Linked DNA regions of Oreochromis niloticus. The protein of the gene in region 2 purifies or fractionates together with the protein of the main gene of each other region. This does not show direct contact. Links are inferred from orthologs where the notes say so. Each region holds a gene or a part of one and is shown on either strand. Other genes may lie near its edges.

Region 1 (3,922 bases), on a different chromosome or scaffold from region 2:
TTCTACTGTTATCTCTATCCCCTCTCACTGATACTGTATTATCTTTATGTGCTCATATTAGGCACACAGCGTTGAGTGTCAGCAGACTAGCACCACCCACCTGTTGTTTAAACCTTCTGTTTGTGAGGGGCAGCCAATCAGAAGAAAGTTTAAAGGAGAGGAGTTTGTTTTACGGTCAAAAAACTTAAATATGGAGTTGATATGAGTATAATATGTCCACTTTAATTAGGCCATGAAAGAAAAAGAAATCAGTTTGAACAACCTGGTAACAATTGGTAACAACCTTTATATATACTTTTTATGCTAATAAAAAAAATGGTACATTTCATAAAGAGTAGTAGATCAGCAGTACATAGTGGATAAGCAGCACATACCCTATGTCTCAGTTACTCTGGTAACATACACAATACATGTGACTATAACTGTGACCACCTAAGCAGCTGTAACCTTTGTTACAGCTCCAACAAACACACTGACATGGGTAAGGTGATGTAATAGATTTTCCTGTTCTGCGCGCACCTCATACTTGACGCATACCTTAACATGAAATTCACCATCCAGCAGAATGTTTTGGGTCTTTAGGTCGTGATGTACGAGGGGTGGGTTCATGTTGTGAAGGAAGTTAACCCCAAGGGCGATCTCATACAGAATCCTCAAACGCAAAGGCCAGGCAAGAACGGGGTACAGGTCCTTCTGTAAGGCAGAGATTACAAAGATGGGCTAAAGACATAATAAATGTATAAATAAAAGTGGGAAATGTGGGTTTTACTACAGTGAAAGTACAAAACAATGCAAGAGCTTGAAATAAAGACTGAAAAAATTACTACACTCAGGCCAGTGGGAATTTCCCTTGTGCATAGCTGTCTGCTTCCCTCAATGCTCGGCTTGTCTTTCCCTACTTTCTTTTAGGTTTCATCAGATACTAATTACTTCGAGCTTTCGCTTTTGTTTACAGTCTCACTGACAGGAAACAGAGTCATACACTCACATGATGAGTGATGCACAAGAGAGAAAAACAACAGACCAATGCAACTCCCTCAGCTGACCTCTTTTGGCAACAAAAATCCAAATGCAACAACTATAAAACCTTTATTTTGTTCAGTGTGTAGTCTGGGCGACTCTCACAGGTAACTATTTAAACCAGGGAAAACTGGTGCCACTCAGTGGCAATCTAAATGGTTTGTTTAAGGATGTATTGCTCAGACTAGAAGAGTTCCTAGAGATAGGAAGTGAACTTGATGAGTTACCTCGTGGAGTAACCGGTCCAGAGATCCATTGCTCATGAACTCCGTGACTATGCAAAAGATACGAGGCTCATTGCAGACCCCAAAGATCTGGATGATGTAGTTGAACCTGGCTTTGTGGAGTACCTCGGCCTCCTTCAGCAGGCAGTTCCTCTCTCTGAAACACAGCCAGACACAGAATAAATAACAAAAACAAAATAACACTGACAGCACTTTTGTGATAGTGAGGTAAAGGAATATTTCAGATAAAATCCTTTTAGACACGCAGACCAAAAATGCAGAATACAATCCTGCTGAAACTCTTGATTACACAGAGGAGTAAAGATGTTACACGCAGGAATCTGAGAAATTCTCACTTGTGAATTTGGGCAGAAATGTTTTAGATGTGTGGATCTGAGTAGAATGACCCATTACTAGGTGACCAATAAACACCAAACTGAGTCATGATGTCTGGACATTTGTCTGAAATCCAGTTGGGCTGGTTCACTGTTGTTGGGATACACTGAGTTTTGTGAAACAAGCTTAAGAATTTCACATTAAAAGGTGGACTTAATTTTATAACAGAGTGGTATATTTGCATGCCTCCAGAAATAAAGAATGAGTGTAGGATTTAAAAAAAAGAAAAATATCCCTCAGTTCAGATTTGTGCCAGTCTGAGCAAACTAGCCCTCCAGCTGTAAGTCACTGGACACGTAAGCCACAGACTCTTTAGCCTTTTTCCTGCCAGAGGAATGAAAAACCTGCTCGAGCACTCTGAACACATTTCATTGAAATGTACAGGAAGGCCTCACATTTGACTCAAATTAGGTCAAGTGCTGCAGCTGTTACTGTGGAGTAAGTACAGGCTGACTTTATTGCATCATCCTGAAACAGCACAAAGTTTTTCTGTACTAGTGCAATTCATCTATAAATGGCTCAAATGTGTCTCCGTGACCTAGACCTTGTTACGTGAAGTTGTCTGCTCGGTGCTGAGTACCTTTCTATAACTGGAGAGTCGAGCTTCAGGCACTTGACGGCCACAGTGGTCCTCCAGTCGGAGTGCTTCCCCTTGAACACGGTGCCGAAGCCCCCTCCGCTCAGGTAGTACAGGTCCGTCAGTTTATTCTGGGGGATCACCGGCAAGGTGCTGGTCAGGCTGCCGATATCCAAACAGCCCGCAGTTGGCTCCATAGCAGTTTCTGAATCCCTTACGCGAAGTCTCTGAGGATTTATCTCCCACGGGTTTGGCCAATAAAGGCAGAACTACCTCTTTTGGTATAAACGTAAAGAGGAACTGCGCTCCCATTCACATGCATGCCACAACGTAGCCGACTGCTAGCATGCTAAGCTAACATTAATGTTGCAGAGGAGAGCAGAAAAACAGAGCAGCCGATAAACAGCGAATCCGCTGACCGGCAACAGCTGTCCTTCACCCAGCGACTACAGTTAAATGCGCGCAGGACCCAAAGCGAAACAACAACAAGAAGAGCGCAGCTGAGCTCCGCGCTCATTTAAGCAGGTGCGTTTGTTGTTGCTAATGACGACACGCTTCCGGTTTTTACGAGATGCGTTCACGAGTGTAGGTTTGGAGAACTTCAGACAGTTGACCCCGTTTTCCAAGCAGCCCTCTGAGCGCATTCAGAATCCCAGTACAAATATGGATAACAGCGAGGTAAGTCTAGGAAAAACACTGAGGAGGCACGCTGTTAAAATACCATAAATCATAAATGAGCCTTTAACTCAACTTTAGTTTCAGTTTCGCTGAAACAAAGATCCGCCTCCTGCGGCATGAACCCAATTGGTAATATTGGGATTTTTAGCAGCGGGAATCCCCCCCCAAAAACAGGGGTTTTCCTACAGATGTGTCGACGCTAAAGACATGTCAAAATCCGATGTTCGTGTCACGTGATCATAAGTAGCACTTTCTCTTTTCAGTAGCAGTATAGATTTTAGTTTTCCAGTGTTATTTTAGACATCCTGATAGCAGATTTTTAGATGTATCGATAAACTTTATTATTTTTATTGATTTTTAAGGTGTTTATTCTTTGATCGCTCCAAATTTGAGTTCATGTGATAATTGGGCCTTTTGGTAAGTCACAGTTAGTGTTAATTTATTGAAATTATAGGTATTTTTTGTATTAAATTTGACGTCTAAGGAGCTTGGAAAGAAAAGCGTCTGGACTTCTTTGAGTTGCTTGAAGACGTTTCACCTCTCATCCGAGAAGCTTCTTCAGTTCTAAGGGTCAATTGGTGGGGAGTCCCAGATTTAAACCCAGTGGGAGTTTCCCCCCCAAAGAGGGACAAAGGACCCCCTGATGATCCTCTACCTAATCACATGAGCCAAGGTGTGAAAGCGGGTGGGGGTCCTAATCAGCCAGGGTTTCGGGTGAGCTCATTGTGAAACCTGGCCCCACCTTTTACAAGTGCGTTGTTGTGATTTACTGAAACAGGATGCGCCCTTTTTGTGCTGTTGGATGAGACACACCATAAAGCACATGACTCTGTGTCCCTCTGTAATCTGAAACCAAGAACAGGCTTTCAACAAATCAGGTACTATGATACTGCTTACGTGGATGTCATACAAACTGCCTTGTGTTTTTGATGAGCCAGCAAGAGTATGGAGTGCGACAATCCCTGCACAGATCAGGTGGGAAACAAAGCTTGATTCTAGAAAACCCTGTGCTGTAGTTCCTTCACCC
Region 2 (3,922 bases):
ATCATGAAAGAAATTCAAACTTATATTTACATTTTTTAAATTGTGTAGTATGTATGCAATCTACTGACCTCGAAGGAGAGTTCAGAGGTCAAATGTCACATGATATTTTATACAGTACTTTCTATATATTCACAAAACACACAACACCTGTAGGAATGATAGCTGTCCACCAATAAATTACTAAGTTGACCTTGAAGACCTTGATGGACGATAGCTAACGTGTCATAGATCGTTAGTATGACCTCACCCTCCACACGGTTTTACCAACATGCAATCCAAACTGTCATGTTTACACACAGAATGATGACACGCACTCATGCAGACGCTATCACAAACATCACCTCCTCGGTGGAAGCAGGAGTGGTTTTTAAATTCAGAGATTTTTAAGCACGGTTTTTGTCTCGGATGTTCTTTTTTCTACCTGATCAGCCTTGGTGGCAGTTTGCTGAACAATCTCAACATCCTCCTGACAGAAGAAGCCACAGGTGAACAGGTTGTCCAGGATGCACTGAATGCTCCTCAGCCTGGTCACGAGCAGCTCTCTGTGGTAGGTGAGGAGGCTGGAGCACGGCACCCTGGCTTCTTTTATCTGATCCATATTTACAGGACAGCAGTCACCTCTGTGGAACAAAAGACAGAAACTACACTGTTGACAGCATTTTAACATCACATGGTAAGCTTCTTTCTACTCCTTCCTTATTCACAGGGGGTCACCTTTGTGATTTGCACATGACACAGATTTTCACACCTGATGCCCTTCCTGACACAGCTGTCCCAGATATTGGAATTTCTTGAACCCCGTCATCACCCTTCATGTTTGGAACATGTGTTAACCACCTAGCCACTGTGACGCGATTTTTGTTAAATCAAATGGACTCACACAGGTTCACTTCTTATCATTTAAAACTGATGACAATTTAGTTACAAAATTGCTCGAGTACAAACAGCAGAGGTCTCTTTCATGCTTTCAGCCCAGTGTTAAAACAGAACCTTTGTGTAAATGTAAGAACTGTTTTATTGGCTCCTTTCTTTTAAACCTGTGTTCAGAGCACTTTAACATTTCAGACTAATTGCCCTTTTCATTATCAATAAAGTCTGATGATTGATTTTTCTGTGTGTGTAAAAAGGAAATCCAAGTCAAAATCTGTCAAATTGCTTGTTTTCTTTAGTCCATATCTATCAAAATCAAGGCCTACGAAGCTGAATTTAACTCCTCGTTCTAAACAGTGGCCTGCCCAGATCTAGCTGTGGTCTCCACTCATACACACCAAACTACACCACAGAAAGGCCATTATTTTACCCAGATTACTATGAACCAGTTCATGACCTATCACAATTTTTTTATTTTTAACTGTTCAACTAACTCAAATATAAAAAAATATCATTACATCAGCAGGTAAAATTACAGGCCAATCAATAAAGTGTCTTTAAGATTGATAGCAATACCAATATTTGATTATATGTTTTTTTTAAAAAGGATATTGCAGACATTGGCTATTTTTTTCTTCCAAACACACAGATTCCTCAAACATGTGTTATGTGTAGTTATTTATTTACCGGTTTATGCTCCAGCCAACTCTGCTGGATCAGCTGGTTGTGTTTTTGTTTGTCCTGCCAAAATGTTTTTGTAACATGTATTTGTTTGTTTTTTCATAAAAATGTCACCTAAAAGAAAATTAGCTAAAAAAAAAAAACATAACAAAAAAAACATCAGCACCTGCCAATGTCAGCAGTGGCCCAATAACAAACAAGGACGCTATCATCACAGAGATACAGACACTGTAACCCATAACACAAGGAACCGTTCCCTGAATGTCCGAGGGTTCTATAGCCTTCAGGGAACGTTCCGTGAAGGTTGCCGTTTGCTGGGTAACTTACCAATTCCTTGATTTTTCGATTCTTAACACACGTAAGTAGCCTACACTCCTGACGTCGGTCTGAAACACTGAGTACTGGCAGCTGCATTTCACAAATACTGTAAACACACAAAGGCTGGCAAGTCTGACCTGCAGCTCTTCAAACGCTGTTTACAGAGTTATCACTTCCGAAGTTCGTGCTACAAATATCTTTCGCATCTTTAGTCACAAAGTAACACAACATTTGGACGTGTTTCCCCGCTTTTACTGTCTAACAAATCCGTGCCCTCGATCTTGGAATGGCTCTGTTTTGTTTACGGAAATAGAAACGTAGTGAAGAAGAGTCTGTAAAGTGACAGACCTGTCTTCCACTCAGCCGTGCTGACCCTGTTAAAGAGCACCTGAAAGCAAAGGCGCCCTAAAAGTTGCCAATAAGAAAAAATGATGTCTCCGAAACTCATTCCAGCCCACAGAAAAGTTGCCCGTACTGGACGGTATCGTGGGTACAGAACCATAAATGAATCCTACCATTGTGCTGGGTCCACACCAAAGTTACAGCCGGGTTAGAAAAGAAAACTAAAAGGAACTAACTTCGGTTAAAATGCACGACAGCCCATTAGGCTACAGTTAGTGAAGTGCATGTGCCGCCCCTTAGAAAGCATCAGCTGTAGCCACAGATGCAGGAAGTCAAAGCGCTGTGAATGGGTGCGTCCTTTTTTCACGGGGTTTCTCAACCTATGCGTGCTGCGTTCAAGGTCCCGCTAAAGATGTGGAGTCCTGCACGTTTAGTATGTCCACCCATCTCTCTCTTTTTTAAATTCTCTTATCCAATTGCTGCAGGAGAGGTGACGGGGTGGTGGTACACCTTGAACAGGTCGTGTATGTGTATCTATAAATGAATGCATAAATACATAAATACATGTGTAAATAAGCCCTTGTTTAAAATCTTTAAAATGGCATAAATGTATTAGAATTTGAATAAGAGTCAACACTAAGTCCAATGTATTGTATTGCATAGATATCAGCTGAAGTTGAAATGGGACTTCTTTTATAATAGACCTGCTAATTTGATTAACATTGTCACCGTCCTCTCAGGCGCGTGGTTGGCCCTGAGTGTTCTCCTCTCTGCCTTCTCGGGTTTTTCAGTAAAAAGAAATGTTTAGTAAAGGAAAAGTGTGTTCAGACATCTGCCTATCACAGCGAAGTCACATCGGAAACACCAAGCTACCCACCACAGCGGGTCACTCTGATAAAGCGTCCCCATGTAGCCGCCGTTACTCATCGTCACCTGCGCGCACAGTCTGAGAGGAGGAAAACACACCCGGACTGTGAGCTCTATCACCTTACCCCTGCCTCCATCACCTCCATCATACTTTTAACATATAAAGGTGGCTGGTGGAAGAGAGAGCAGTGTGTCAGGATTAATGTGATCAATTATATGTGATCATTCTGAACTGTGATTCTGTGATTTTTATTTTACTCAATATTTACCAATACCTGCTGTTCCAGTGAAGACGTCTTTTCCAAGTAAAAACATTATGACTGCAGCATCTTCATCACCTGTTGGGGTCCAGGTACATGTGGATTCCTTTATGGAAGGCAAAACGTGAAAATAAGGTGAAAGACGAGGCTGATAGTAACCAAGATGACAAAAGACAAAGAAATCTGAGATGTCAGGTTAGAGATGTAGAACCACTTCGCATTCTGGACCCAGATAAAGGTAATTTTGTTAAGTACTATGAAATGTTCAGATACAGAGGTCACACATGTATAGTTATGGAAATGTTAAAAACCACAGCAGAAAAGCAAAGAAACTCAAAGACTACACACCACATTAAGAACACAGCAAGGGGAAATCTGAACAAGTGCAGTCCTGGCGATGAACCAAAACTGTCTAAGTCAAACGGTATGAATCCAACCGTGGAGATAAATCTATCAAACCTGAAGGTTGTCTGAACAGTTTGAGCCGTGGTGGTAACAAACCTGACTCTGACAGTGACAGGAAACCTTCTGCACCTCAGTTGGAACTGAGAAGCCAGTCATGAATAGAATTGGTAAATTCTTCT

Evidence for each region.
Region 1: the proteins of nod1 (region 2) and ripk2 purify together in Homo sapiens (affinity purification with western blotting; 4 studies listed by BioGRID and IntAct, with this or other methods). This does not show direct contact. The link is inferred for Oreochromis niloticus from reciprocal best matches to the Homo sapiens genes NOD1 and RIPK2.

The regions. Positions count from the first base shown.
Region 1 is NC_031982.2:10,260,220-10,264,141, forward strand, and holds the start of ripk2 (receptor-interacting serine/threonine-protein kinase 2), read right to left. Parts: upstream 2,747-3,922; 5' UTR 2,415-2,746; coding exon 2,221-2,414; intron 2,079-2,220; coding exon of another isoform or gene 2,017-2,078; exon of another isoform or gene 1,411-2,016; intron 1,402-1,410; coding exon 1,248-1,401; intron 694-1,247; coding exon 538-693; intron 1-537. Other genes in the region: sorting nexin-16, read left to right, coding at 2,017-2,078.
Region 2 is NC_031976.2:2,124,659-2,128,580, reverse strand, and holds the start of nod1 (nucleotide-binding oligomerization domain-containing protein 1), read right to left. Parts: upstream 2,587-3,922; 5' UTR 2,448-2,586; exon of another isoform or gene 2,385-2,447; intron 2,373-2,384; exon of another isoform or gene 2,218-2,372; intron 2,202-2,217; exon of another isoform or gene 1,879-2,201; intron 621-1,878; 5' UTR 599-620; coding exon 422-598; intron 1-421. UniProt on the Homo sapiens protein: Pattern recognition receptor (PRR) that detects bacterial peptidoglycan fragments and other danger signals and thus participates in both innate and adaptive immune responses.